2 linked regions of the Rhinolophus ferrumequinum genome follow. The protein of the gene in region 1 purifies or fractionates together with the protein of each later gene. This does not show direct contact. Links are inferred from orthologs where the notes say so. Each region holds a gene or a part of one and is shown on either strand. Other genes may lie near its edges.

Evidence for each region.
Region 2: the proteins of OS9 (region 1) and SERPINA1 purify together in Homo sapiens (affinity purification with western blotting; 4 studies listed by BioGRID). This does not show direct contact. The link is inferred for Rhinolophus ferrumequinum from reciprocal best matches to the Homo sapiens genes OS9 and SERPINA1.

Annotation. Positions count from the first base shown.
Region 1 is NC_046293.1:56,593,161-56,609,284, reverse strand, and holds the start of OS9 (protein OS-9), read right to left. Parts: upstream 6,054-16,124; 5' UTR 6,012-6,053; coding exon 5,850-6,011; intron 5,422-5,849; coding exon 5,245-5,421; intron 4,409-5,244; coding exon 4,345-4,408; intron 4,215-4,344; coding exon 4,138-4,214; intron 3,958-4,137; coding exon 3,859-3,957; intron 1-3,858. UniProt on the Homo sapiens protein: Lectin component of the HRD1 complex, which functions in endoplasmic reticulum (ER) quality control and ER-associated degradation (ERAD).
Region 2 is NC_046289.1:8,774,979-8,791,208, forward strand, and holds the start of SERPINA1 (alpha-1-antitrypsin), read left to right. Parts: upstream 1-8,418; 5' UTR 8,419-8,526; intron 8,527-14,211; 5' UTR 14,212-14,215; coding exon 14,216-14,855; intron 14,856-16,050; coding exon 16,051-16,230.

The sequences.
Region 1 (16,124 bases):
GACTTCACCATTTTCCTCCATACCTCATCTTCACCACCCCCACTGAAACTGCTCTAGCAAAGATCGCCAATGACCTCCGTCATCAAGTCCAACAAAGGACTGGGCAGAGGTGACTGGGGCTAGAAGACTTACGAATTTTCCTCTGGTTCCCAGGCCAGCTGTCTGAATTTTTATTTCTGTGTGCATATTTTGCTTTTATTAAAATAATAACTCCTATGATTACATACAAGCCGTTTTTAATTCTCCTACTCCTTGAAGGTTCGGATGCAGCCAACACCATGGACCTGTCCCTCCTTGAGACAGGTCCTTCCTGGGTTCCATGTCACCAGTCTCCTCTCCGGCCCTTCTTGGCAAAGCCCCCCTCTGCCCATGCTTTCAATGATGGCTCCCTCAAAGTTCTGGCCCCCCTTTCTCACTATATAAGGTTTCCTGGGGGAGGGGGATTTTATCCGTACCATGACTCCAATTATAACCAGTATGTTGATGACTCCCAACCCTCTGTGTTCAAATCAGATCATTCTCCTGAGCTCCAGACCCATAGATCCAACAGCCTGTTCAGATATCTGCACTTGATGCCTATAGTCACTAAAATCATCCTATTCAAAACCAAGATCATTTTTTACCCAACCTAATCCTCTTCCCACCCAACCTATCTCAGTAAAAAGAATCACCATCCATCAAGTTGCTCAAGCCAGAAATCGGGGAATCTTATTCTATTGATTTCATCCCCTAAATCTCTCAAAAAATTCCCATTTCTTCATCCCTGGGCCCCCTTGTTTTCTCACCTGGATCGCTGCAACTGCTTAACTGGTTTCCCAATCATGTGATATACTCCAGCCTAAGTGAGCCTTCCACACCAAAACTGACTATGTCATCATTTTGCTTAAAATACTTCATTGGTTCCCCCATGTTTCTCAGATTGTCCAAACTCATTAACATAGCTACAGACTTCATGACCTGTGACTTGTCCCCTCTGGACAGCTGCCCAGCTCCCTTCACACAACCTCCCAAACCACCTTCCCACAACTCTCTCCATCACTGTGAATAGCTCTCAAGTCCTGAGATAGGCCATTCCCTCTTGCCTCCTGGCATTGTGCATTTACTATACCGTCCACCTGGAATGCTCTCTTCTCTTTCCCACTCCTCTACAGCTACTGGACTAACTCCTCTTCCTTCCATTGCAGTTCAAGTATCACTTTCTCCCAGAGGCCTCTCCTTTACCTAGAATTGGTTAGTTCCTTCATTGTATGCTCCCCTGTGATACTTCACTCATCAGAGTTATTTCACCTATCAGAGTATTTATCCTACTTGTTGTGGCTGTTTATTTAATGTCTCTCCTGAGAACAGGACTTGGTCTCTCAGTCATCATTTTATCCCCAGTTTCTATTATAGCGCTTGGCATAGGGCCTGTATGTTCAATAGACGTGAGGAAAATACAGTCTTCACCTTCAGTTCTTAGTCTACTGAAGTTACAAAGAGGTAAAGAAATAATGAGAATACAATAAAGTGCTATAATAGATTATATGTATGGATGCTTATAGGTTGCTACGGTCTGAATGTTTGTGTCCCCCTAAAATTCATGTGTTGAAATCCTAACCCCCAATGTTACGGTATTAGGAGGCGGGGCCTTTGGTAGGAGCTTAGGTCATGGGGGCGGAGCCTCATGCATGGGATTAGTGCCCTTTCAAAAAAGACCCCACAGAGCCCCCTAGATCCTTCCACCATGTGAGGATACAACAAGAAGTCTGTGACCTGGAAGAGGGCCCTTACTCAGACATGCTGGCACCCTGATCTCCAACTTCCAGCTTCCAGAAATATAAGAAATAAATTTCTATTGTCTATAAGCTACCCAGCCTGTGGACTGAGACATGGATACAGGGGGATGTGGATGTATGTATATGAAATGCTGAAGAACTAACTAACTAACACAACTAACTTCTGGGTTAGCCAAGAAAGTTCACATAAAATAAATGATATTTGACTTGGCTTATCATTCATTTTATTCATTCAAGGAATAATTTCCGGGCAGCTACTTGGCGCCAGGCACTGTTCCAGGTACTAAGGACACAGGAGAAAAAAAGCAGACCTTGTGCCTGACTTCTCGGAGCTTATTGTAGTGGGGTAGACAGGGAGAGATCGTACACTGAAACGAGTAAGATAATTTCAGGAAATGACACATGCTTCAAAGAATATAAAACACTGGAGGCGTTTACCAGGATGGGGGCAGAAGAGTGCATGCGTGTGTGTGTGTGTGTGTGTGTATGTGTGTGTGTGTGTGTGTATCTCTGTGCCTATGTCAGGTCTCCCTGTGGAGGTGTCACCGGCATATTCGAGAATAACCCGAATGAGGGGATTAAGCCAGCCATTCAAAGACATGTGGAAAGATGGAGGGAAACAATGAGGCCTACTAGTTAAAGGAAAGAAAGAAGGCCAGTGGGGCAGAAGCACAATGAGTACATATGTCTCCAGGCCAGACATCATCCCTGAACTCCAGAATCACACAGGCCGCTAGCTACTGCCGACATATCACCACTGGGATGTCCAATAGGCATCTTGGCCTTCATATGCCCAACACCAACCTAGTTTTCTCCTCCAAACCTGTTCCTTCGTACTTTACTAAATGACAATTCCAGTCTTCCAGTTGCTCATGCTAAAACCCTGCAGGCAGTCATACTTGACTCTACCCCACAGCCAATCCATCATAAAATCTAATTGGCTCTACCTTCAAAATATATCCAGAATCCCAACTGCTTCCTACCACCTCTACTGCTACCACTCTGGTCTCGGTTGAAATATTTGGATCTTATCCTCTGAACACGGCAGAATCATCAAAACTTTTCGAGGACTGGGCGGAGAAGCGACACATGCTTATAGTATCATGTTGGAGCCAGCTCACACCAGTTCACAAGACCCAACTAGCAAATTTTCAGCAACGTTGCAAGACAGTTGACATCATGGTAATAGCATTAATTTGACCATGGTGGGAATATTTATAACATGGATATTGGCAAATATTATAAATCAGGACGCCCCTCTCCACGCCCCTTACCCTACCCTAATGCTGTGGATGTGCAACATTTACCAGCACACAATTGTATGTGCAAATCTGTATTACAGAAAGGTAATTCTTGTTATGTGGTTCTCTACAGGTGTGTACATTTGTGAACACACATTAGAATCACCTAAGGAACTTTTCTCACCATACATCTGCCTGCCTGCCTGAACTCATTGAGGACCACTGCACCAGAAACACTTGTTAAGAGGCTGTTGGCAGTGATGCAGGTGAGAGATGAAGGTACCAAGCATAGGAAAGAAGAAAGTTGTGAGAGAAATCTAGAATAGACTGGACATGCTTTGGCATTTACGAGAGAACTAGATCCCTTTCCTTTATAGCACTCCTCAGTTTGTAATCACAGACTCATTTCTGTGGTTCTTTTGTTAACATCTGTCTTCCTTTCTAGACTATGCACTCCACGAGTGCAGGGGCTGTGTGTTTGCCTACCACTTTATTCCCAGAGCAGAGCCCAAAACCTACTGAAGAAAGGAGAACACAGTGAAGGAGAAGGAAGGATCAACAATGACCTTCAGGTTTCTAGATTAGGTGACAGAAAGGAGAAACATTGAAAAAAAGAATAAGTGTGGTTGGATGTTCGGAGGGGAAGACTTGGGAAATGTTGACTAGAAGTGTTTCTGAATATCCAAGCAGTGATATCCAGCTGGCAACTAGAAATAAGAGTCTTAAACTTGGGTTTAGGGTCTGAGAGAGACCCTCATGACTGTACAATGCAACCTTGTCCTCTTCTATTAGAATCTGCAATGTCACTGAGGGAGTATCAACTTCCCTCTTTCAAAACTCACCCGAACCTCGGCCTCCCGGGGTCTCCCATTGAGGTCACACTTGGATCCATTGACATAGGTCTGGCTGTGGTAGCGTTTCAGGCGATGCTGCTTGGAAGCCTGGAGAGGACATCAGGCAGGAGCGGTGGGATAAGAAAGACAGCAAGAAGGCAAGAATAGTACCTTGTCCTAACGGCCACCAAACCCCAGGAAACAGCTAATTCTAACCCTCCCCTTCTTTTCAGGGCTCTTAATCTGCAGCCAGGACCCCTTTTTCTCCCAATCCCACACTCCTGCCACCTTGGCTGTTTCATCATCCCAGTCGAAGGCCGATTGGTAGTAGCCGAGATACAGAACTTCACCTTTGATCTCTGAATCTGCAAGAGAAACCACAGCAAATTATGGTTACTCCCTTCTAAGAGGACTAGGAGGGAAGAGGACTGAGAAGGCAGGTCACCTTCCATGACAGGTTGCTAAGGGCTTAGGGAAAATGGAGGTGTGAGTCACCTTCCATGTGATACTGCTGGATGTGTCGTCCATAACAGAATTCATATGTCCACCAGTCCTTGGTCTGACAATAAAAAAATAAACAGTCAGGGGGATGGAGTGCAGATGTCTCTTCTTGGAACCAGAATCTCTCCTGGCTCCAAGACACATAACCTATCACCTACTTCTCATCTCCCTCTGCTTCCACACTCAATTCGCCAGATTCTCAATAAGGAGGGAGGGCTGTGACTCAGAGAGATACTTATAAAGTCTGTTTTCCACCTGTGGGCTTTTTAAGCCTACCTTTTTAATGATTTTTTAATCCTTTTTGCTCTCCATAAAGATAAGAAATCATGATATCCTTGAAGCACTAAGACCAGGGAAACATAAAATATTACAATATTAATTTAACTTCTACAACATTCCCGTGCTGTTCTGTCACTGGGGATACAGCTATGAACAAGAAAAATTCTCTGACCTCATGGCCTTTAGTGCTGGGACTAGACCAAAAATAAATACACTGATGATTCAGTTAGTAAGATAATTTCAGATCATGAAAAGTGCCATGATGAAAATGAAATAGGATACTGGGGCAGACAGTGATAGGGGCAGGGGGTGATTTTACCAGGAAAGCTTCTCTAGAGGAGTGCCCCTCCTACCCCACACTGACCCTCTTTAGGGTCAACCCTTGGCTTAACCCTTATTTTGAGATCTTCTATCCTAACCCTACTCTACATTCAGCGAAGTGTCACCAGTGGTTGCAAAATTCTTCGTTTCTTTCCTGTCTGTACAATGTATACTCCTCCAATGGCCTTCTTAACTTTGACAAGTCCTCCCTATCCAGCCTTACTCTCTGGCACTCTGGTTCTCAGATAGAGTTAGTACCCAAGCCCTCATTCCATACATCCCAGTCCTTTTCACCTTCAGCAGGCAGGGAGCATCTTTCATTGGGCTCAACAACTCAGGGATCCCAGGCCCTTGGTAAGCAGGTGTCTCCTCCTCCCTTTCACGCTGGAAGTGAATAGCTCCAGCTGGCAGGCGACATTCATAGCGCTGTTTGTACTTAGAGGAGACAATCACCACGTCTGAAGCTTGGCTCTGGGAAAGAAGGGAGAATAGGTGGACAGGGAGGCAAAGAGAGCCTAGGATCAGGCAGAACAACAAGATCCTCTTCAGACCCCGGGGGAAAGCCCAGTCAAGACAGAATGAGCCACAAGTCCTCCTAAAGCTTTGTTTAGCAGGTGACGGGAGAGGGCACACCCACTGCTCCATAGGGGCGGAGTCGGGGGGGTGGTTTCGATCAGGAACTAGGACCTGAAGCTGACAGCGGGAAGCCCCACCCCTCCCAGTCCCTGGCCCCAAGGGAATGGGTCTCAGTCTGCGATACTCAGGAGACATCGTAAAACTCCTACCTACTCTTCCTGATTCTCCCGCCGCTCCTTCGGCTTTCTCCTTAGCTGCCCTTCTTCCTGTACTTTTCCCCCTTCCCCTTGCCCCGGACCCTTGCCCGCTCTACGCCTCCTTACCTGCCCTCCCATGACAGGCAGCGGCAGGATCTCGATCCCATAACGCATCTCACTCAGTTCTTCCAGGTTCAGGCTCCCGACACAGCCGGTCAGACTTGCAGGTAACAGGAGCCCCAAAAGCAGAAGCCCCAACAGCCTGGACAGCAGCGTTTCTGCCGCCATCTTTCGTTCCCCTCCTTATCCAGAACGACTCCTTCCGCCCTAAACCTGGCAGCAGCCTCACCACGCCCATTAACGCCCCAAAATTTCATTGGCTAGATGTTCTGTCCCTCTCACCTACCTTATTCCCATTTGTAAACGTGACTTCAAAGCCCACGGGGAGGTGGATCACGACCATTGGCAAAATCACTCGCTGCTCGTAATTGGTTCGAGAGGCTAACCAACCATCGACGAGATAAGACCTCCTCCCACTCACTCCCACTTCCAGAAAGGCGTGGTCTATGCTGGGCCCTTTTAAGCAGTTTTCTGTCTTCGCACAGCTGTCACCCGCATCATTTCTTATTACTTTTTTTCAGTCGTTTCTTGCACTGTAGTTTGTCCCCATCGGGTGGAGGCTTGAGGCCAATGGGTGGATGCACGCAAAACCCCTGAAAGATACTTAATACTTGTTGCAAAATAATTATATAAAAGCGCTCCTCTTTTCATATATGCATACAACTTTAGGGCAATCTGGTAATTTGTGTCAAAACCTTTCTATACGATTCTGTCTGTACAATATGTTTTCCTCCAATAAAATTATCATAAATAAATAATGGGGGCTTCCAGTTAAAGACTGGGGAGAGGGAAAGGCAAATACACAAATTATCCTCCAGACCTTGTAAGACCAACGAGAAAGAGAAGGAGACAACAGCAGCAACATTTCAGAAGTTAGAAAGCAAATGTAAGAATGGTAACTGGTTTAGCAAACCTGAGAAATTGATTCCTAAACAAAGGTAAACATGAGCATGATTGTACCTAGAAAACTTCTCCGGGGAATCTGACCAACCCAAAAGAGAAGTCTCAAAGAGACTCTCATTAGGGTCCTCTTAATGAAATAGATGAAGGAATCCTACAATGAAGCCTTGGTCTACATGTCCAGCTCTCACACGATTTTTCCAATAAGCTTTATAATGTCCTCACTCTTAAATATAAGTAGACAGCCAAAGATAATTAGACAGTTAGGGAAAGTCTTTTAAAAAGACAAGAAAGAAAGCAAAACAAGCAAGAAGAAAAAAATAAATTTAGAAGAAACAAAAATTGCAAGGGAGAAAAAGACTTAAATAAATCCATCATTAATGTCCTCAGAGAGATAATATATTGTATCCACCACATAACAACAGGAAGCTATTTTAAAAGTAACTACAGGCCAGCCCGGGTGGTTCAGGCGGTTAGAGCTCCATGCTCCTAACTCCGAAGGCTGCCGGTTCGATTTCCACATGGGGCCTGTGGGCTCTCAACCACAAGGTTGCCAGTTCAATTCCTGGACTCCCGCAAGGGATGGTGGGCTGTGCCCCCTGCAACTAGGAAACGGCAACTGGACCTGGAGCTGAGCTGTGCCCTCCACAACTAAGACTGAAAGGACAACAACTTGACTTGGAAAAAAAAGGCCTGGAAGTACACACTGTTCCCCAATAAAGTCCTGTTCCCCTTCCCCAATAAAAATCTTTAAAAAAAAAAAAAGTAACTACAATTCAGATAAGGAAAAAGAACTCTTGGAAATCAAAACCATGATAGCAGAAATAAAAATTCAATGGAAAGACTGGAGGATAAAGTTGAAGATCAAATTACTCTACTTTAGGAGAAAATTAATAAAAATAAGAGGATCTCTCCAGGCCTGGAAAGAGAACAGAGAATCAGAGGGAAGAAATAATCAAAGAAATTATTTTAAAGTATTCTCCTGAAATGAAGAACTGAGCCTCTAAATTGAAAGGGCACACTAAGTATCCAGCAAAACAAATCAGGCCCACACCAAGATACATCATTATACACTATCAAAACATCAGGCACAGAGAAACAATTCCAAAGTTTCCAGAGAGAAAGAACAAGTTGCATACAAAGATCAAAAATCAGAACAGCGTTAGGCTTATCAATTCATCAACACCGTAAGGGAGAAGACAATGAAGAAATGCCTTCAAAATTTAGAAGGAAATTATTTCCAACGTAGAATACTACATTCAGCCAAATGGATTTAATCGTAAGTCCAAAATAAAGATAATTTCAGATATGTGAACCCTCAAAATATTGATACTCTAGGCATTGTTTTTCAGAAAGACTGGAAAGGATTTATTATATCAAGACAAGTCAGTAAGTCAAAAAAGAGAACAGTATGGAGGGATCCCTCAAGAAATGAGGGATCCAGCACAGAAAAGAAACAAAAGGAATCCCCAAAGCAAAAGTAAATGGAGATTCCAAATTGTAGAGCAGGCCTAAAGATCAATTCATCAAGATTAAAGCAGTTCAGAGGATTTGGGAATGATTTATTTAAGAAATACAATTGATAGAATACCTAATGCATTTGAACTTATTGAGAAGACATTTGTATAAGCAGAGGAGAGTGTGGGGCAATATTAAGTGATAAGCATGTAGAAAGGTGAAAGGGGAAAAGATAGCAATTCTAAAGAAAATAAAAACTTGTGCTAGGAATGCTAACCGTCTTCTGTTTTCTTCAATATGGTTGGTTATCCTCATACTAAAAACTGAAAGTCCTGAGTAAAATGTAAGTATTTTCCTTCTTAAAAGCATGGTAAAGCCAACAAGACAGTAAAGAATTAACCGGCCAAGCCGGCCCGGTGGCTCCGGTTGAAGCTCCGTGCTCCTAACGCCAAGGGCTGCCCGTTTGATTCCCACATGTGCCAGTGCCAGATGGCTCAGTTGGTTGGAGCGCGGGCAACTAAGATTGAACACGGCACCCTGAGCTGAGCTGCCGCTGAGCTCCCGGATGGCTCAGTTGGTTGGAGCGCGTCCTCTCAACCACAAGGTTGCCGGTTGGACTCCCACAAGGGATGGTGGGCTGTGCCCCCTGCAACTAGCAACGGCAACTGGACCTGGAGTTGAGCTGCGCCCTCCACAACTAAGATTGAAAGGACAACAATTTGACTTGGAAAAAATCCTGGAAGTACACACTGTTCCCCAATAAAATCCTGTAACCCTTCCTCCCCCCCCAAAAAAAGAATTAACCGGCCAAAATCTAAATGAAGTCAGAAAACTAGAGAGGTATATTCGAAACATTGCAGTCACCTTTGCATGAAGGGAATTTGCCAAATTAAAGAATTCAGGTTTGTTGTTGTGTTGTTTTCTCTTGTTGTTGTTGTTGTTTTCTGAAGGAAGGGACAGAAGGCCACTCAAGGTGGAGAGTCTGAAAGAAGATCCTTCCTGCAGCAAAGCTGCCCCTAGTTCCCCATATCCAGGGAACTGCAAGGAGGGTTGCCTTGGTGCCAAACAGAGCAGGGGAATTTGTGACCACAAGTAGGCCCTTAAAGAAATTTGCAGTCCAGTTTCACAACATTTGGGTGGCTAAAAAGATTCAAGCTGTAAATTTAGATTTAAGTGGTTCCAGGAAGAGAGTATAATGCCCTAGGTACTTGGCAGACGGAAACACAAATCCACTCTGGAAAAAATGTCTCTTCATCCTAGGTACCAAAGAACTCCTACAAATCATTTGCCAAGGAAAATTAGTAGCTCATAATAAAAAGTAGGTAAACACAAAAGAAGATGAGGTGCCATGGAGAGAACCAGAAGAAACAATAGCAGAAGCTGAGCCTGAAAGACTTCAGATAGTGTAAGTATCTGACACAAATTATACAATAATTATGCTTACTATACTTAAAGAATTAAAAGAGAAACTTGAAAATATATCAGCAAACTATAAAAATGACCTAACATATTTAAAATACAGGTTCTAGAAATGAAAAATATAAAGTTTTAAATTAAAAACTGAATGGATAAAGTAACTAAATAGTTTAAGAAGCAATTGTTCTTCATAGAAGAATTCCAACTAATAAGTGTAGAAGGAATGATATACTGTCATCATTTTACAATCCTAATGAAATAATTGATCTAGACAATAGTCATCAATGAACTGTCAGAAGCATCAGGTAAGAGGCTTATAGGTGAATCAAGCTGACATCATGTATATACACTGATAAAACTTAACATCATGAAGAGGAAAAATCAGAAATTACATGTTTCTTGATGGGATACAATAGGAAGTACAGAGCATTATCTATGAAGGATTCTTGCCAAAAATACAGAACTTTAAATATAGCTGCCAGTTTACAGGAAATAGGAGAAATAGGAGAATATGTTAAATGACACCACCAGAATGTAATTCTGATGTAATCAGAAATAAAACATGATCAATGCCCCAGTTTTTTCAATAAATACATTGCAAGGGGAAAAAAAGGGGAGGAGCATAGTTAACGATTAAGAGATTTATGAAACATATCAATGAAATGCAGTGGATAGATCTCGTTTAGATCCTGAATCAAACCATCTATAAAAAGACTTTCATGAGTCAATGAGGGAAATTTGGACACTGGATATTATATGATATTAAGATATCTTTGTTAATTTGCTAGATGTGACATTAAATTTGTTATGCTATGTTAAATTTGCTAGATGTAACAATGGTATTATTGTCACATGTTATGTTATATTATAAAAAACAGTCCTTCTCTCTAAGAGACACATACTTATGTATTTACCAATGAAATGGCATAATGTCTGGTATTTGCATTAAAATAATTCTGTGGGAGTCTGGGAGAAGTGGTAAGGGTATAGAGGAAACAAAATTGACCATATTTTATAAAAGTTGAAGCAAGATAATAAGTACATGGAGATTCATTATACTTTACTTTTGATTGTATTTGAAGTTTTCCACTTAAATTTTCTCTTCAGAAACTCAAAGAGCAGTTTATGTTTAACTGAAGATAGGATTAATGAACTAGAAAATAGATTAAAGAAATTATCCAGGATGAAATACAGAGCAATAACGAGAGGAATATGAAAGAGAAAATAAGACACACGGAGAGTAAAGTGAGAAATCTAATTGGAGTTCTAGAAGGAGTAAAAGAGAATGAAGCAAAAACAATGTTTGAGCATTTCCCAGAACTAATGAAAGATACAAACCCACAAATTCAAGAGGCCCAACAAATTTAAAGAATAAATAACAAGAAGAATAAATAACATAGACATATCACAGTGCAACTTAGTAACATTAGAGAAAAACAGCAGATCTTAAAAGCATCCAGAGTGTGAGTTATATGATGTATGCATTTGTCAAAACTCATTGACCTACAACATATAAGGCCTGTACATTTCATTGCATATAAATTTTACTACAATAAAAATAAAATTAAATTAAAAGCAGCCATAGAAACAGATTACCTTCAAAGAATGAAGTGGAGAATAGGTAAAAATCCTACATGATCACTGACAGTAAAAAAACAATACTAATGTCTTCTAGAGTTTAACATTAAGATATAATTAAAACACACCAAAACAATAACATATACATTGGGAGGCTGATGAATAAAATTAAATTGTTCTAGGTTTCTTGTATTGTCTGCAAGGAGAGTGTGCTCATTATCAAACTATATCTTTCAGTTTCAAATCCACTGTTCTATATACTGCTGTGATCCTGGGGCTAGTATTCTGAAAACCACATTTCAATTTTTTCTATTAAATAGACTTTTTTTTTTTTTACAAGTTTCAGGTTCACAGAAAAATTGAACATAAAGTACAGAGAGTTCCCATATAACCGCTGTCCTCACACCCTCACAGCCTGCCCCTACCATCAATATCCCACACCAGAGTGGTACATTCATTACAATCAATGAACCTACATTGACACATCATTATCACCCAAAGTCCACAGTTTACACTAGGGTTCACTCTTGGTGTTGTACATTCTATGTATTCTGATAAATGTATAATGCCATGTACTTACTATTGATAGTATCATACAGAACAGTTCACTGCCCTGAATATCCTCTGTGACCTATTTATTCACCCCTTCCTCCCCAAAAACGTAGGCAAACACTGATCTTTTTATTATTTACATAGTTTTGCCTTTTCCACAATATCACATAGTTGGAATCATATAGTACATAACCTTTTCAGATTGCTTCTTTCACTTAGTAATATGAGTATGGACTTAAGGTTCTTCCATGTCTTTTCATGGTTTGACAGCTCATTTCTTCTTATGGCTCAATAATATTACATTATTTGGATGCACCACAGTTTATTTATCCATTCACCTACTGAAGGACATCTTGGTTACTTCAAAAGTTTTGCCAATTATGAATAAAGCTGCTATAAATACCCATGTGTGGGTTTTTCTGTGCACATAAATTTTCAATCAATTTGAGTAAATACCAAAAAGTGCAATTGCTGGATTGTATGGTAAGAGTATGTTTAGTTTTATAAGAATCTGTCAAACTGTCTTCCAAAGTGGTTTTACCATTTTGCATTCCCAACAGCAATGAATGAGAATTCCTGTTGCTCCACATTAGCATTTGATGTGGTCAGCGTTCTGGATTTTGGCCATTCTAATAGGTATATAGTAGTACCTCACTGTTGTTTTAATTTGCAATTCCCAATGACATAGGATATGAGGCATCTTTTCATATGCTTATTTGTCATCTGTATATCTTCTTTGGTGAGGTGTCTGTTCAGGTCTTTTTTCCAATTTTTAATTGGGTTGTTTGTTTTCTTATTGTGGACTTTTAGAGTTCTTTGTATATTTTGTCTAATATTCTTTTACCAGATATTCTTTTTCCCAGTCTATAACTTGTCTTCTCATTCTCTTGACAGTGTCTTTGACAGATCAGAAGTTTTTCATTTTAATGAAATCCAGCTTATCAATTATTTCTCTCATGGATGGTGTCTTTGGTGTTGTATCTAAAAGTTATTGCCATACCCAAGGTCATCTAGATTTTCTTCTATGTTATTTTTTAGGAGTTTTATAGTTTTGCATTTTACACCTAGGTCTATGATCCATTTTGAGTTAACATTGATGACAGGTACGACTGTCTCAATTCTTTTTTTTTTTTTTTTGCATGTGAATGTCCAGTAATTCCAGCACCATTTGTTAAAAAAACTACATTTTCTCCATTATATTGCCTTTGCTCCTTGGTTAAAGATCAGTTGGCTATTTTATGTAGGTCTATTTCTGGGCTTTTTATTCTATTCCATTGATCTATTTGTGTATTCTCTCATCAATAGCACTATTTTTTTTAATTATAGGAAGTCTTGAAGTCAAATAGTGTCAATCCTCTTTGTTCTCCTCTTGTAATATTGTGTCTGCTAGTCTGTCTTTTACCTCTCCATACAAAATTTAATATCAGTTTGTCAATATCAACAAAATAACTTGCTGGTAATTTGATTGGGATTGTATTGAATCTATAGATCAATTTGGGAAGAACTGACATCTTGACAATATCGAATCTTCTTATCCATGAACATAGACTATCTCTCCATTTATTTAATTTTTCATTGATTTCTTTAATCAGAATTTATAGTTTTCCTCATAAAATCATTATACATATTTTATTATATTTAAATTTAAACCTTAGTATTTCATTTTTGTGCATGCTAATATAAATGGTATTGTGTTTTTAATTTCAAAGTCCGCTTGCTATTGCTCATATATAGGTAAGCAATTGACTCTTCTTTTTTTTATTGTGTTAATATACACATAATATAAAATTTTTAACCATTTTTAAGCGTACAGTTCTGTACACTTACTTTCCAATCGTTGTGCAACCATCATCATCACCCATCCTATAAACACTTTACATCTTATAAAACTGAAATTCTATTCCTATTAAACAATACCTCCCTATTATCCCCTCCCTCCAGCTTCTGGCAAAAACCATTATACTTATTTTTTTGTCTTTATGACTTTTTTTTCCTTTCCCCCCCTTCTTCCACTACCTCCCCACACATACACACTCTCCAGTTCAAGCCATTGTTTCTCAGTCTAGTTGTATAGGACACAGCTCCCTGACCCATGCTGGTATTAGGAGCCTTGCGTTCCCCCGGCTGAGGTCTCAGCCGGTCAGTCGGCTGCTCACATCTGGCTGCTGGCCCGGCTCCCGCTGGCCGCTCCTGGCAGCACACGGTAGCACACAGACGGCTGCAGCGCAAGGCAGCCAGCTGCAACGCACAGCAGCCCAGCTCCAGGGAGAGCTGTTGTTCACAATCTTAGCTGTAGAGGGAGCAGCAGCTCACTGGCCCATGCGGGAATTGAACTGGCAACCTAGGCGTTAGGAGCACTGTGCTCCAACCACCTGAGCCACTGGGCCGGCACTATCTTTGTGATTTTGATTACTCTAAGTACCTCATATAAGTGAAATCATATAGTCCTTTTGTGACTGAATTATTTCACTTAGCATAATATCCTCAAGATTCATTCATGTTGTAGCACACTGCAGGATTTATTTTCATTGTGAAGGCCGAATAATATTTTATGTATGTATATGCCACACTTTGCTTATCCATTCATCATCCAATGATGCTTGGATTATTTCCACATCTAAGCTATTGTAAATAATGCTGCTGTGAATAGGAGTATGCAAATACTATGTTTTCCTGAAAATAAGACCTAGCCAGACAATCAGCTCTAATGCGTCATTTAGAGCAAAAATTAATATAAGACCCAATCCTATTTTACTATAATATAAGACCAGGTATAATATAATATAATATAATATAATATAATATAATATAATATAATACAATACAGGATCTTATATTAAGTTTTGCTCCAAAAGAAGCATTAGTGCTGATTGTCCAGCTAGGTTTTATTTTGGGGGAAACACGGTATCTCTTGGATATCTTGATTTCAGTTCTTTGGGGTATAGACCCAGAAGTGGAATTGCTGGGTCATGTGGTAATTCTATTTTTAACTTTTTTAGGAACCTCCATGCTGTTTTCCACAGCATCTGTACCATTTTACATTCGCACCAATAGTTCACAAGTGTTTCAATTTCTCCACATCTTCACCGAGACTTGCTGTTTTCTGTTTGTTTGTTTGGTTTTTCAGTGTAGCCAATGTAATGGGTGTGAAATGGTATCTCATTGTAGTGTTTTTTTTTTTAACTTTTATCTATTTTGTAAGTGTGTTTTTCCAGGAGCCATCAGTTCCAAGTCAAGCAGTTGTTTTAATCTAGTGGCCCATGTGGGGATCGAACTGGCAACCTTTTTGTTAAGAGCACTGCACTCTAACCAACTGAGCTAACCAGCCACCCACTCTTTGCAGTTTTGACTTGCATTTCCCTAGTTACTATGCTGGTGTAAGAAACATACAAACCTGTAGAAAATTTTTGTAAGAATTTATTTGAGCCAAACTGCAACAAGATCTCAAATGTTCTGGAGAACAACAGTTTTGTAGTTTCTTTTATACATTTGGAATTAAAGCAAGGTATAGGATAATTAACATGATAATGTGGCCTCTTGAGAGTGGTTATACCTCCAAGAGGTCTGAAAAAGAGGCATTTCTCTGACATTTCAAAGAACCATAGACAGGGCTTCCTTAAGGAAAAGATAAACCTTTTTACAGGCCTAGGGAGTGACTACACACCATGACCTGCCCAGTTATGAATTTATGATCGGATCACCTGTGAGTTTACTTTCTGTCATATTAATTGTAGAGCCACTTTTTTGTCCACAATTCCCCCTTTTGGTCATGAATAAATCTGAAGGATGCATCGATGACCACCTTTTGGTCAGATAATTTGGTCTCACCGTGCTAAGAAGGTTCATTCCTAGGAAGTCTCAGTATCAACGTTATCTTGTTGAATGGACCATTGGGGATGGAGAAATACCATAATCATGGGATATGAATTAAGTCCACATTTTCCCAAAAGGGAAGGGCAAGTAAATGGATGGCATGTCTTATGGCCTTCGTTGCTAAAAACACTCTGGATCATTCCTATCCTGTGAACTGTCATGATCCAAGTTTTACCATCTGTCTCACTTTTCTGTGTTTTGCATTTAGTGTAACATTTTCATAAATCATGAAAGGGGTATTAAAATTTTTCTTGGGTGGCTGGTTTGCTCAGTGGTTAGAGCGCAGTGCTCATAACACCAAGGTCGCCAGTTCAAGTCTCACATGGGCCAGTGAACTGCGCCCTCCACAACTAGATTGAAAACAATGACTTGACTTGGAGGTGAGCTGTGCCCCCCACAACTAGATTGAAAACCAATGACTTGACATCCTGGAAAAACACACTATTCCCCAATATTCCCCAATTAAAAATATTTTTTTTTAAAAAAAATTATCTTATACATCTT
Region 2 (16,230 bases), on another chromosome or scaffold:
AGACGTGAAAGAGAAATCCCAGGCAAGCCAACTTTTTGGAAGATCCAGATGTCACATACAGCATCCTTCTGTTTGGTTCTAAAGTTAAAAGGAGTCAAAGATGTGCTTTTTCATAATAGCAACCTGTTCTTGTTGTGAAAACATAAACACACAAGAATATACAAAGGACAAAAAGTCCCTCCAACTGGTAAGTGTGCATTCCAGGATAACCACTGGTTTATCTCCTTCCAGAAACTTCTATACATATACTTTAGTTTCTAGATATATAAGCTCTTGCCCTATACAGTTGTTCTTTTACGTCTTCATGTTCAAACCAAACCAAAAAACCAGAAGAGGAAAGGGGAAGAGAAGGGAATCAACATCTGTTGAGTGTCTGTTTTATCTCTGGTCCTTTACATATATTCCCTTATTTTATCCTAACAACCACCCTAAGACTTTGGAACTCTAATCTCCATTTACAGATAAGGATGGATAGTGGAGCCATGAGAGGTTAAGTAACTTGTTCACAGTGACCGAGGCTGCTCTGATTGGCCCATAATCCCATGGTCCACACCATCCCAGGCAGTGTCGGAACCACCATTTTTCCAGAGCTTTTCATACAAGAAAGGGGAGTCTCAGAGTCTCACGAGAGGGTGGTAACATGTCTCTCTGTGTATCTGCCTGTGTGTATGTAAATCGTGTGCCTACAAGCCCCTGAATGTCTCCCCTCCCCCGTGAACCGGAGACTCCAGCCCCTGGGATGGAGAAGGGTACCTCTCCCTTAATCCCACCCCACTACCTCCAGGACCTAGTGGAGTTCCTTAACGGGGCATTTCATACCTGCCTCCCTTTTAGCCCAGTGGAGGCAGGGGAAGAGGGCAGAAGGAGGCCCAGAAAAACACGCATCCTGTTGTTTGCTCAGCACAGACCTTCTTCCCAAAGGCAGTGTTGACTTAGCTATGTTTACCTTGCTTGCCCAACACTCCACAAGGTGAAAACTTGAATTCGAGCCCCTGAGAACTGGTTTAAGTAGAATGGAAATCATTGATTTTTCACTAAATTCCTGGACCATTTTGTTATTTTGTTCCCAGGCATTTCACTGAACTATTTAATTTCCATTTGCTTGTCATTAAAACAACAGCCACACAGCCCCAAGGGTGGAAAAAAACAAGGGAAATGATATTTATTGAGTCAGGCCTTTCGTGATCAGGGTGTCCTATAATCCTCACTGGACCCCCACAATGTCAAGATTATCATCCCCAATCCACAAAGCAGATGGGGTGGCTGGCTCCAGGTTCTCAGCATTTAAAGGCACATCTGGGATTTGAACTGCTTCTCCACTGCTGTCCTGGAAGCCTTCACAGACATGGGCAAGGGGAAGGTGCAGAGGAGAGTGAAGTTCCTTACAAAGTTTAGTGCACGCTACCCTAGGATTAGGCACCGACCCAGGAGAAATGAAAGCAGGTTCACACTAAGACTCGCGCTTGAACGCTCAGAAGCTTTTTTCATGATGGTCAAAGTTGGGAGCATCTAGACATCCATCAACAGATGAACTAATTGTGGTACGTCCTTACAATGGAACTGTACTCAGCAAGAAGCGTGAGCAAGGTGCTGATATAGGCAGCAACTTCCATCAATTTCAACAACAACAACAACATGATTGAACAAAAGAAGCCAGATGCAAAAAAAAAAAAAAAAAAGTACACAGTGTATTTACATGCCCTTCTAGAAGGGGTGAAACTGATCTATGGAGACAGAAGTGAGAGCAGAAGTGACATTCCGGGGAAGATGGGGAGATTGACGGGAAGGAATGTCCTGGGTTGGAAGGATTTGTTCTTTACATCTCAGTCTGAATGGAGGTTACACAGATGTACATAAATGTGAAAATGGATCGAGCTGTGCACTTAGGATTTACGGTTTCACTGCATCTAACTAACACCTCAATAAAAATAAATACATAGAAAGTAAAGGCAGGGAAGCGATGGTGGCACGTACAGGTGGTAACGGTGCAGAGGTGGCGCGATGGGAGGCTTCAGGACAGGTTTTACAGGGTCATCCTATTTATTCTCTTTGAGCCTCGCCTGCAAAATGGGTATCATTAAACCTTCCTCGCAGAGCTGTTGGCAAGATGAGCATTTGTGTTCGCGGGGCCTGGCAGCCCCGTAGCCCCACAGAACGGGTTGCTTTTGCTGGGGGGATGCTGTTTGCAGCTGTAGGGGCGGGGAGATGGCAGGGTCAGCGCCTGGGCAGGGGGCCCAGGAGAAAGGCTGAGCCACAGGGAGACCTAAAGGAGGGGACAGCGGGTGTGATGCCATCCCCTTCCCTCGGTGGCATTTCACTATTCCATCTCAGTCCTCGCTCCATTGTTCTCCCGTGAACGGGTCCCCTTTTCTCAGGGCTGACTGAGGAGGCAGATGGCAGAAGCGGCTTTGGGTGCTGGTGGGAGCCCAGGCTTGGCGAGCAGGAAAACCAGGCTTTAGGTCCTGGCTGTGAGGGGCAAGATCATATGACGGCTTCCAGCTCAAACAGACGAAACAACCGTTTGTTAATTAGGAAGTTGCATGCCCCATACACATTTTTACATTCTAAAGCTTTTCACGCTTTCACCCTGGCAAGACACTTGAACCTTCTGCCAAAGACATGCTCCATTTGTACTCTGTTTCATTCCTTTTAACTCATCAAGCACCTGCGGAGCACCTGTTCTGTGCCCAGCGCAGTCAGAGAGCTGGGGAAAGCCCGGCCCTGCCCTCAGGTGAGTGCAGTCTGGGGTTAGAGCCGAGCTCTGGGGCTCCATGCCCCTGCCCTCTGTCACGTGGCCTGATTGACATCTCCCCTCCGCCACCCACCAGCTCCATGACCTAGAGCTAGTTGCTTGGCGTCTATGAGCATCAGTTTCTGCGAAATGGAAATAACAAAAGCACCCACCCTGTAGGCCTATTGTGAGGATGAGAAGAATTAATCTCTCTTAAGTGCTTAGATTGGTGTCTGGCGGGCGCTACTGCTCAGTCATTGTCACCTGTTACCGTAAGTGTCCTAAAGGGATATGTACAAAGTGCCAAGGAAGCAGCAGGAGGGAGACCTAACCCAGCAAGGCCAGGCTGTGGCCAAGGGGATCAGGACGGGGCCATGAGTTTGTCCTGGGCCTGGAGGTGGGGGACACACTGAGTCCGCCATGTGAAGAGAAAGGGGAAGGTGCTTCCATCTTGGGACAGAGAGAAGCCTGCACAAAAGCTGGCAGCCAAGGAGGCAGTGGTGTGATAGACAAATGGAGGTGGTGAATGTGACTGTCACCTCAGGCAGGGACCAGCAACTTTGTTCTGAAAAGCCCAGATAGTAAATATTTTCAGCGTTGCAGGCCACAGCGTCGTTGTCACAATGACTCAACTCTACCACCGTAGCATGAAAGCAGCCATGGGCAATAAATGAACAGGCATGACTAGGCTCCCAGAAAACCTTACATGTGGACACTGAAAACTGAATTTCATATAATTTCCTTGTGTTACAAAACATTATGCTTCTTTTGATTTTTTTTTTGTCTCAACCATTTAAAAAACGTAGAAACCATTCTCGACTTGCCGACCTTACAAAACAGGCAGCAGGTCGGATGGGCCTGCGTTGTGAGCATCTCGCTAACTCTCTGTGCCTCAGTTTCCTCCTCATCTGTACTAAGGGGGTATTAATGGCACCCACTGAATGCCATTCAAACAGCGCCTGGCAAACAGATAGTATGTGCTCAAGAAATATTAGCTATGATGCAGATAGGCCACTCAGTGGAGTCAGTTTGGGGATTTGTATTGCAAAACGAAAGCAGTGAGAGACTCGTTAAAACCAAGCAAACAGAAATGCTTAAAATCAACAGGAAAAACAACAAGGTGGATCGAACCATTGCAACCCAAGGTCCGAGTTGGGCAAGTTTTAAGAGCCCTATTGCTCTCTATTATCTGAGCCACCCACGTAGGGCTTCTATTTCTGAAAAACAAGTCCCAAGGTCCTTGGGGGGTCTCCCACAGCTCCCCAGAGGGTCGTTGATGCCATGTCTTGGGACAGGAGAAAATGCAGATGGGCCTGGGACACATGTCATTGCTAGAAAACAAGCGTGTGCTTTCTGAAATGTCAGCAAAGATTGCTGAAAGGTGAAAGAGATAAAGGATCTCCTATTCATCAAAATATGACAACTTGAGCTTCTAAAAGGAAATATCAGAACTAGTTAAATAGGACAAGGTCAGTCTCCTAAAAATTGAAAGTCCATAATGGCCACAATGGCCCATAAATTCAAAGGGGTAAAATTAAAGTGTAGAAAAGGTTAGCTTTATAATAAAAACATTAGTGCTTTTTTTTTTAATTTTAACAAGTAGAGGATGAAGCTAGAGATGCGTTCTATTCCTTCTATTAACTATAATGTCGCTTCCAGTGCATAGATTTGTCTTCTTATTCGCTGAGTAAGGATGAGGAATGAAGACAACACGCTGTGAATTAGCCAAATAGTTCAGAAAAAGCAAGAATCAAACCACACACAGGAAGTGGCTCCAGAAGAAAGAGGAAGGAAACAGGGCCCACTAGGGGGATGCAAGTTGCAAGATTTGCAACAAGTCACGAGAAGATGAACCAGTGGTGCAACTTCAATTCATCACCTGGAAGTTAAAAGCTAGAACCTTTGACTAACGAGCTATGAGAAGACAGACAGTGTCGGTTATGCGAAAAGAGCAGGCCTGGTGTTAAACACTTCACAAGCATCCCCTCATAAGAACTCTAAGAGAAAGACTCATATTATCCCCATTTTACAGATGTGAAAGCTGAGGCTCAGAGAGATGAAAGGAAGTCCTCCTCTGAATCCAAGTTGGCCCGGCTCCATCCACCCCATGCCCAGTTCGGCCCTCTGGACCTCACACATGCTCAGAAAGATGCAATTGCACCTGGGCCTGTGCAAGCTCTTGGTCCCGGGACAAAGAGTGCTGCCCCCCAAATCTTCCTCCTGCTCAGTCCCCTGAGACCCGTTTGAAAGGCTTCCCAGGCCCAGGACACATTCCCAAAGAGCATACCGTGGTTGGCATTGACTTCGGGCCCATCTGTGCCTGAGGCCGCCCTAACTCTCGTCATCTCATTGACTCTTTGCAGTCCTGGTAGAAGTAACCATTCTTCTCACAGATGAGAAAACTGAGGCCCAGAGAGCTAACGAGGCTAAGACCTCACAAAAAGAGAGTGGTGGAGTTAAGGATTGAACTCAGGTGCTTAGCAACCAAGTCCACACCTGCCCCATACTGCCCCCTGAAGAAGAGAGCCAGTGCCTGGAGGGGCAATCCCATAATGAGCATGGGGGATCCAAGAGTGGGGGTACATGTGGCATATCTGTGTGTGTGCATGGGACAGATTGGCTCCCGCACTCCCCAGGGAAGTCTGCCAATGGGTACAGCACCCCTAAAGTTCACCATCGCTCTCCTGACCAGTCCAGGTCTCTGGTCCCTGATGTGCTTAGTCCAGGGCCCCTCGCACATTTCTCCCCTCTCTTCCTGTTGCAGAGCTCACGCCTCAGCTATCAGGTTTCTCTCCCTCCTACTCCCCTCTCTAGGCAGGACCTATGGAGGGGAAGGGTGTCCCCAGGTTCCCATTATTTACAACCAGCCTACAGGATCTTCCTCTGATGCATTCACTCCTAGGGAATTATTCCAGACGTTGCAATTGACGATTCCAGAAGTAACCGAGGGGACAAGACATTTCCTACCATGCTTTGTGGTTCATGGGACACAGTGGCTTCAAGAATGGCCACTGGGTTCCCCCACCCCAGGAATTTTGTGCCTTCTCGGTTCCCAGATCCTCTCACCCCCTTCTTCCCAGGACGTGTCCAGGAGACCTCTCTGCAGAGGAACGGGGAGTGAGGGAGTGTGAGGATGAGGGTAAGGAGGGGCTGAGCATAGAGCCCTTGACTCAAAAGGGACAACCCTGAGCCCCTCACTTTCTCCAACTCCTCCCGCCCCCTCATCTTTCTTCATTCCTCCTCCAATGTTCTGCACTCCCGGTGATGTCTTGCATCCCTTCTGTACCCAGCCAGGGTCTGGGACACACACAGACCCCTCGCAGCCTCCATGGGGCTCCCATTGGGCAATTCAGAGGTGGCTCATCCTCTTCTCTCTACAGCTGGCCCTGGAAATCTGCCAAGATGCTGGTGCCAGGCCCTGGGCAGGAGGGGGATGCCTGTCATCCCCATTAATCCTCTGAACTGGGTGCCACCATCCCTCTTGCAGAGGAACTAGGTGACTTGTCCTGGGTCACATAGGCCAAACAGAGCAGGAATAGCAGGTGACACACAGGACTGCCCGGGCAGGGAAGGGTCACCTGATAGCTATTGGCAGCTTTGTGCAAGGCAGCTTCCTGCCCCAGTTCCCCGCCCCTCCCAGACCTACTGCCCCCACCGGCCACTCCTTCCTCCTAGGCGGCAGAGACTGGGCACTGTGCTTGGGGCACGTGTGGCCTGCGTGCTGCAGCCCTCAGCACCCCAAAGCTCCAGAGGAAGAGGAGGAAGAGCAGGAGGTTGGGGCGACAAGAGGCGTGGCCACCACAGCACTCGGAATCGGAGGTAGAGGGAGGACAGCCCTCCTCTCAGTCCCCAGGCCACTGGGCTGAGGGGGCCGAACTTGGCCATAGCCTGGACAGTGGGGTGCTTGCTGTTGTCCATCCAGTGCGAGCGGTGGGAGGGGTAGACAAGCTTGGAGAAAGGCCAATGTACAGATGGGGAAATTGAGGCACAAGGAGGAGAAGAAATGCCCAAGAGGTGTGGAGGGTGGCCTCACCTCAGCCACAGCCTAGCTCTCTAAGCTACAAATAGATGTAGAGCTGTGGGGGAGACGCCCATTCAGCCAGCTCAGGGGGAAGAGTTGGGGCCCTGAAACCAGATTGTGGAACTGGGCAGTCGGGAGGGGATGGACCTCTCATGCAGTCGCTCAGTGCAGTACACTGTGAGGGGGTGTGCACCACCCCCATGCAGGAGCAGAAACGAGCTCAGAGAGGGACGGCTCCCCTCCCTCACGCCCTCCGCTGGGAGACCCCCTGGCACTGGGGGGTGGGGTGGGCGTCCTGTGCACACCAACACTGGGCTCTGAGCTCATTTTGAGCTGCTGCATTTAATCCTCATAGCAGCTCGACAAAGTTAGTACTGTCGTGATCCCATCATACAGATGGGGAAACTGAGGCACAGGGAGGTTAAACAGCTTACCCGAGATCTCATGGCCCATGAGTGGGGAGCCGGTTCCCTGGTCTGAACCTGTGTGCTAGACGAACCTGCAGGTCACTCACCTGGCAGAGTTCCACAACTGAGAAGGGAGACAAAAATGTACTCACCCATGCAGTCATTCAACAAATACCTGTGGAGTACACACTATGTCTCAAGCAGGTGTGGGTGTGGGGAGGGGGTACAGAGTGCGATGTGGTCTGCCTTAGGTTTTTAAAGGGATCGCAGTCAAGTGGGGCCCTACTGGCCTCAACCCTGCACCATCACCCCCGACCTCCACCAGGGCCCCTAAGGGCCTGCAATAGAGCTGGACCGGGGCCACATTCCTGAGGAAAATTCCAGCAGTATGTGGATCGCACTGGTCTGCCAGGAGCCACATCCAGCGGAAATAGACAGGTCTGAGCCTGGCGGGGAGTTGAGCCTCCTCTTGCCCAGAGAAGCATGGAGAGCAGGGCTTCCAGAGGGTTGTGTAGACCAAAATAAAGAGCCTACTGTGGCACTTTACATAAGCCATTTTGTGTATCCCTGACAACCATGGTACCGTAGGAAGTAGGACTTCCAAACCCTGGTGGTGCAGGTGAAAACACCCTCTGGTTCAGAGAGGTAAAGCAGTGTGCCTAAAGCAGCACAGCTCTTCTTTCTAAATGTACTCTCTGACCCCTGACCTGTGCCCACGGCCACCCAGCCTAAAATGGCTACGTCCCCGTCAATCAGACCCCCCGTTTCAACTCAAGGAAGTTGAGTGAGGTTTTGTATCTGACTTGGAATGAATAGCCTGTGTGTTATGGGCCTCAGTTTCCCTGTCTGACAAGTGGGCACATCACCCATTGCAGCCGCCACCCCTCAGCCCCCCCACACACATACCCACTGCTCATGGCAGCAGTGCGTCAGCAGCAGCAGGTATTTCAAGGCTGCTCAGTAAATGGCAGCTCTCGCTACCAATAAGGCAGCCATGGAGAACTCCCCAGTGCAAATGTAGGGCCAGGACAGTAATGTTGTCCCAAAGTGCCTGACTCACGCCACCCCCACCTTGGATGCAGGATGCCGCGATTTACGAGCGGGACAATGATTCCCTTTGGTCTGTGGAGAACGGGCTGTGCGCTGTCCAGGGAGAGCACATACAGGCAGCGTGGGCGGGCAGCTCATTGTCAGGAGGACGGACTTAGGCCCTGTTTGCTCCTCCGATAACTGGGTTGACCTTGGTTAATGTTCACCAGCAGCCTCCCCCATCGCGCCTCTGGGTCCACTGCTTAAATACAGACGAGGACAGGGCTCTGTCTCCTCAGCCTTGGTCACCAGCCCCGGCCCAGGACAGTGAATCGTAAGTACGTATGCCTTCTGCTGGGGAGAGTCTCCGGAGGGGGCTTCGGGGTCCCTGCATACCCAGGCAGCACCCCACCGTCACCCCCGCCAGAGATGTATGGAAAGTGGAGTGGGGTGGGGGGGGCTCCTGTCGTCATAGCAATAGCATCCTTGAAGATCTTCTCCTGCTCCCCAGAGCCTGCCCAGGGCCTCCCCAGTACCTACTGGTGAATAAACTGGCCCTCGATAAGCAGAAGTGGAGGTGGCTGTGGATAAGCAGGCTGTGGTGTCCTGGGACCCAGGAAGGAGCATGTTTCTGTTGGCAGAGCTGCACCCTTCCTGCCAGTCATCTCCAGTAGGCCTCCCCTCCCCTACTGCTTGGCTGGGTATCTTTTCCTGTGCTACAGATGAGGAAATTAAGGCCCAGAGAGGGACAGTGGGAAGCCCAGGCTACTGAGGGGAACTGGTGGGGAGGCCAGTCCAGACTAGAAGCCCAGAGTCCCAGCTGCTCATCGGGCCTCCATCCTCTGCAGAAATGCTCAGAACGGAGCTGTGCCAGGCTTCAGCCTGGAGGGATCAAAATGGGCCTCCCTGTGCACTGGCCCTGGGTGTCCTCATGCACAGAGCAAGATGGGAAACGCTGGGAGGGGCACCATCATGGGGGCGCCGAGCGGTGTTCCTGAGCCCTCCCTCTGACCAGGTGGCTGCTAGGCTTCTTGTAAGCAGTCCCACATTTAAGCCCCACAACAACCTTCTGAAGTAGTTACCGTGGTTACTCCCATTTTATAGATGAGGATAGAGAAGTTTATAACTTGCCCCAAATTACAGACCATCCAGGATTCAAACTCGGGGCACTTAGCTCCAGCACTCATACTCCTGATCCACTTCTTACTGCGAACATTAATTCTCTGGGGCCTTGGGCGCCATTTGGGACGCGGGAAGCCCGGGCTGGCCTCGGGCCTCACTGGTGCTGGGCGGTCTCAACTTCTCTTTCCTCTTAGGCAATAGATAGATAACCTTTGCCCTCTTTCTTCTCACCCCAACCCACTGGCCTTGACCTCTGGAGTGTTGAAGGATATGATTTCTTTTTTCTGTCATTGGATTTTGGAGCTAGTGCTACAAAGATGACCATAGCCAAGGCAATTGGACTCCCATATAGTGCTCTGAAAGACCCACAACGAAATCAATATCAACTGATGCTTCCTGAGAGCTGACTGTGTGCCAGGCATTTCTTGGCACTTTGCGCATATTTAAATTGCACAATAACTCTATGAGGAAGTACACCCTTATCATTTCCAGAAAACTGAGGTTCAGAGAGGTTAAGTAACTTATCCAACATCACACAGCTGATAGCACGTGGAACACGAGCATTCTGGCCTCGTAGCCTCTGAGCTTAGCCACAAAGCAATGCTGCTCCTCTTGATTTAGCCAGGACACCTCTGCATTTTTCTGTTTCAAGGCTTCTGGCTTCAGCTTGATACATAGAGAAAGGCTGAAAGCCAGGTTCTGAAATTGAAATGCCTAGGGTTCAATCCCAGCTCTGTAAGCAACTAGCTCCATGGTTTTCAGTAAGTTACTTAACCTCTGTAGGCCTCAATTTCTCCATCTAGAAAACGGGGCTAATAATAATTCCCACCCAAAAGGGTAAGCTTTGAAGGAAGATTAGATGAAACAGTGCATATCAAGTACCAGATATTTGCGAAGTGTGATGATGACGACAGTGATGTGATGTTTGCCGTGCATAGCGTTTGGCAGCTAATAGGCAATAAATAAATATTTAGAGGATTGAATTTAAAATTTTCCAAACTCAAAGGTGGTTCATTGCTGAGCAGGGGCTCCTTCTCTGGTCCTGGGCAATGTGGTAACTGGCCAGGAAGAAATCTGCCAGTTCTCAAGCGTGGTCCCTGCCTGTATGCAGGTATAGGGAGGCTGCCATACCTGGTAGGTGCCATCACCTTGTTTGTTTCTCACAACTGCCCTGTAAGAGATTCTTTTCTCCACTTTACAAACAGGAAGATGAGGCTCAAAAAAGTGAAGTCACTTGCCCAAGGCACTTGCCTGTAAGTGGCAGAGCTGGGTCACACCTGGGCTTATTAAATGCCAGGTTTCAGCAGGTTGTGACCTCATGCACAGTTGTTTCCCTGAAACCCACTAGGTCACCGTCAGCCACTCGTTTCATGCTTCTGGGTGGACACGGTATGAGATTAGCCAAAAGGGATGGTTCCCTTCATTCTACCCTACCTGCTACAGACTCTGGAAACATCATCATGATGTCTTCATTCCTTTGCTTCATTCCTTTGGTCCATACACCTCCGGATGCCTCACTTCTACTTTCTCATCTTGGGGTGGCTTCCCTGGCACTAGGCTTTGGGGAGGGTGTGGGGTGCTGCCTTTGACAGAAGGGCGAGGAGAGAGCAGAAATCTTGGGCCCCCAAAGTTGTAAGAAACAGATTGGGAGGCAAAATAAAGCCAACAGGAGGCTGAAGGTCAGGGTCCCTTAGGGCCCAATGCTGACAATCGTAGAATCTGAGACCTGAGGACATGGCTGTCTCAGTCTGTAGTTCAAGTGGCGAGAAAACCAAGGCTTGTTCCAGCTTTGTCACTGCCTCACTGTGTGGCCTTGGCAAGGCCCTGACCGGCTTTGGGCTTCACACCCCTTACTGTAGAGGGAGGAAGCCGGAGCGGGTGATCTAACACCCAGGAAGATGGACTGGGGGCAACAAGCGCTCGCCCAGTTGTAGCCGCTCTCCACCTCAGCCTCACGGCAGGCTTGCCACCTTCTAAGTGAGAGGGCACCTCACCACATCCTTCCCCATGGGACGTCCCAGTCCAGTTTGTGCCACCTAACCTGGCTGCCCCTCTCATAAAGCATCCAACGTTAGTGCCCAGGACTTCAGTTAGGTCTATCCCCACCTTGATTTATCACATGGAGAGAAAATGCCCCAGGACAAGAAGATGTTTACCCAAGTCCAAGTGGACAGCAGTGGCCTTGTCAGGGCTAGAAGCCACAGCCTCTGGCCCTGAGGTCTTTTGGCATATTTCGTGTCCCCACCCTGCCAAGGTCCTAATCCCTCCTGAACTCTGGGTCCTGCCTGGAAAGATGGGGAATTTCCATGAACTCTGAAGGACCACACCTAAGATCTCTGATCTCTCCTGATCTCTGGGTCCTGCCTACAAAGATGGGGAATTTCCATGAATTCTGAAGGACCACACCCACTAGAGGAAGTCAAAAGAAACCTGAGGCAGATGGAAACATACAGAACTAATTTTAGTAAGATTCAGCTCTAAAACCACAGGCTAGTTCAAGAAAAATATAAACACATATTATGTAATGCATGGTCTGCTTTGTTTGGATTATTTAGAGGCATGAATGCTAGAAAGAAGGTGGTGGGAAGAGACCAGTTTGGTGCTTCTTTTTGTTGTTTTATTGGAAAAAAAACTTTTAAAAGTCCAAGGGAATAGATGAAAGCCAGCCTTTCTTATTTCCAACTTTTTCCACTCAGGTTTTTATGTGCCCAATTCAAGGACTCTTTTGTCTCTGTATTTTATAAAATGATGGTTTTAGTTATGTGAGGCATACCTAGCGACGAGGGATGATCAAAAGATATGGTGAATGTTTAAATTTTTAAAAATGTATTACAGTAAAAGACACATTGCCATTAATTCCCCTCAAAATACTCTCCTTCGCATCAAGCACACTTATCCCACCATTCTCACCACTTTCTGAAGCAGTTCTGGAAGTCCTCTTCCGTGAGTGTCTTTATTTCATTCTCCATCAGACAGTGGTCCGTGTCACATATCGCTTCTGGTATGGAAATTTCTGTCAAATAAAAACATTACAGTGTGTCCTCATCCACCTTATTCAGTGGACCTGGCACCATGTGATTTCTGGCTCTTACCCAAAGTCAAAATGACCATGAAAGGGAAACGTTTTGAATTGATTCAGAACATGGAGGCAGCCACGACAGTGCAAGTAAAGACACTCACGAAAGAGGACTTCCAGAACTGCTTCAGAAAGTGGCGAGGACGATGGGATACATGTCTTCAAAGCGGGGGGGAGGTATTTTGAGGAGGACTAATGGTAATGTCCATTACTGTAATATTTCTTTTAAATTAGTTTCAGGTGTGTAACACAATGTACTAGTTAGACATTTATACCCCTCACAAAGTGATAACCCTCCTCCCCCAGTCTACTACCCCTCTGTCATCGTACATAGCTGTTACAGTTCCACTGACTCTATTCCTTATGCTGTATTCCATGTCCCGTGACTATAAATATATAAAATTATAGTTGATATTCATTATTATTCAGCTTCAGCTTCAGGTGTACAGTACAGTGGCCAGGCATCTACACCATCCATGAAGCGGTGTCCCCAATAAGACAAGTGTCCATCGAATACCCTACAGAATCTTTACCACATTATTGATTCTATTCCCCCAAAGTAATATATTTTTGTTTATTTCAACATTCACCATATTGTTTGATCACACCTCATAGGCGGCCACAGACACACCTTCCTCTGCTTGCATCTCAACATCCACGAGCAGAGCAGGCTGCGCTTGGGGGCTGCAGACAGGCGCTGGGGATATCTGGAGTGAGGGAGCTCTGTGGGGCAAGGAGGGATCTGCGTCGCTGCTGTGACAGTGACCATCCCTAAATAGAATCTGCGCCTGCTGGGTCAGCCACAGGCCTTGCCCCTCCCACCTGTCTGGCCCCACACTCACCCCCCAGCCATGGATCACATTTCCCTCCCCTGCCTGTCCTCTGAAGGCTTCTACTTTGCACCCCCGACTAGCCTCTCCTTCATCCAGCTGCTCTCTCAGAGCCCTCAATGTAAGACTTGATGTCTATACTAATTTCATTAAGTTCTCCTAACAACCTCACTCTGTACATGAGGCTAAGTGAGGGCCAGAGTGACTAAATGATCTGTACCGAGGAACCAGGTCTGTGTGAAGAGAAAAAAGATGCTATTTCAATAACTACCCCTCTCCAAACACACAGAAGCCCCTGCTACACGAGAAAGACGCGCGTCTCAAACACCCAGTCCTTGCTGAGCCCAGAGCTGGGACACACACAGGTGGTGACCGGGATAAGCAGCTAAGCTGACTGCAGGGACGACACCCCATTCATATGGCCGAGATCACAGACTCATTGTGAGGGCAGCCCTCTGGCCGTAAGGGCTGAGGCTCACGTGACTGTCCACGGGACACAACCCCCCACCCCAACCCTGAGTATCCTCAAAGCTCCGCTGTGTTCTGGTTGTATGTCCTTGTGTAAGATCCTCCCCTCTGGGCAGTAGCCTCTCTGTCCACCAAATAACAGGGTTCGATGGCAGTGCTCCTAGGGCTGTTCCAGATCCAATCATCCCCACGTCTAATCTGGCCACTTCCTGAGTATCGTGTGCATGTACCTTATGCTTGCTGTTCTTCAGTTACCCTTTTTGTAAAACAGGAGCTTTGGCACTTGCACCTCAGGGCCATTGCAAATGTTAGTGGGGACATTGAGAGTGTGAATTCCAGACCCAGACGATCTGGGTGTGATTCTGGTGGGAGTCTTCCAATGATGCTGACGTAGGCAAAGGCTTGGCATAGGGTTGGCACATAGTAGATGCTTAATAAACTCTGGATGCTTTTCATGGTGTTAATCGGTGTCCAGGGGGACTCACCACATGCCTGACTTGGGTATGGGGCCCCTTCTCCTCTTGCAGGACAATGCCATCCTCCATCACGTGGGGCCTCCTCCTGCTGGCAGGCCTGTGCTGCCTGGTCCCTGGCTCCCTGGCTGAGGGTCTCCAGGGCGACGGTGTCCAGGAGACTAATGCATCCAAGCTCTGTGACCAGCCGGCCAGCCACAGGATTGCCCCGAACCTGGCAGACTTCGCTTTCAGCCTCTACCGCCTGGTGGCCCATCAGTCCAAGTCCAACATCTTCTTCTCCCCAGTGAGCATCGCTGCAGCCTTGGCAGTGCTCTCCCTGGGGACCAAGGGGGAAACTCACACCCAGATCCTGGAGGGTCTAGGTTTCAACCTCACCGAGAGAGCAGAGGCCGATATCCACGAAGGCTTCCAGAATCTCCTCCACACCCTCAACCAGCCAGACAACCAGCTGCAGCTGACCACCGGTAATGGCTTGTTCATCAGCGAGAAGGCGAAGCTAGTGGATAAGTTTTTGGAGGACATCAAGAAACTGTACCACTCAGAAGCCTTCTCCATCAACTTCCAGGATTCCGAGGCAGCCAAGAAACGGATCAACGATTATGTAGAGAAGGGCACCCAAGGAAAAATTGTGGATCTGGTCACAGAGCTTGACAAAAACACAGTTTTTGCCCTGGTGAATTACATCTTCTTTAGAGGTAGGTTGCACCACTAGCCAGAGCTTGTTCCCATGGAAACATCCCCAAATATTCTCAGTCAGTTCTTAAACTTTCCTTGGCAGTACACGATGTGATGTGGCTGTGCATCTCTGCATGTGTTATTCAAGTGTCCTCACACAACCACTAAAAACCTTTCCACGATGAAGTAGGTTAGGGAGCAATGAGGAAAACAGTTAAAGCCCCATGTTCCCTGCAGGACTTTTCAGAGCCTTTTACGGTGTGAACGTTCTCAGGTGCACTGCACACCCCTACCAGGGAGGGAGGTAAAACATGCAATGTGTCCTCCAACAGAGAGCCAGAAAGGCAAACTTTAGCAGCGTGCATGAGGGAATAGTTTCATGGAACAACTTAGAACAACTCTAGTGTAGTGGAAGGAGGAACCCGTGGGCCCCAGAGGGCATTCTGAGGCCGTTTCAACAGTCTATGGAAATAGCCTGGGGAAGGGGAGGCGACAGTCAATGTCAGGGGCTGCTTCCTTCACACTGTGGGCTCCTTGATCTGAGGCGGATCTGAGAGCAGCGAGGCTGGAGTCAGCCCATCTTGGGTCCCAGGTGTGCTGTGCGACTTTCCGCAGGTCTTGTTCCCTCTGCAGCCTCAGTCTCCATCTCCCATCCAATGAGAAACTTGAGCTCAGGGGACCCCGAGGTTCCCATGTCCTCTGACTTTCCAGGATGGTGACATTCAGTTGGGATAGCAGGGAGGGACATGGCCAGGCCCCTGCATTTCACATGTTGGTCCAGGAAAAGGTCATTAGAGTCAGAACAGAGTGATTTCCCTGAATGCAAAGAACCGCCAATGAATAAGGGGCAGGGAGACTCGGACGAGGAGATGCCACGTATGACTGATGCCAATAATTTTCATCTAGAATCTTCTAAGCAGCCCTCAATTAAATAAGCATGAAATGCAAGTTCAAAGCTTACTCTGCCCAGCCAGAGCGGCATCCCGTAGCCTTTACAATACAGAAAATCTGGACCCTAGTCTAGGCTGCCATCATCGACAAAAGTCCTTTCAGTGGACGGATGTGCGTTTTAGCTCCATTTTACAGATGGGGAAGCAGAGGCTCAGAGAGAAACATCTCATCGAGGAGGCTCAGGCCTGCTTTCCTCTCCCGCTTGTTCCTAACCACCCCCCCGACCCCTGCCACCAGCTGACTTGCACCCTCCCTTCTCTCCAGGCAAATGGGAGAAGCCCTTCGAGGTTGACCAGACCGTTGAGGAGGACTTCCATGTGGACGCGGGCACCACGGTCAAGGTGCCCATGATGAAGCGCCTGGGCATGTTTGACATGCACCGCTGTGACACGCTGTCCAGCTTGGTGCTGCTCATGGACTACGTGGGCAATGCCACCGCCTTCT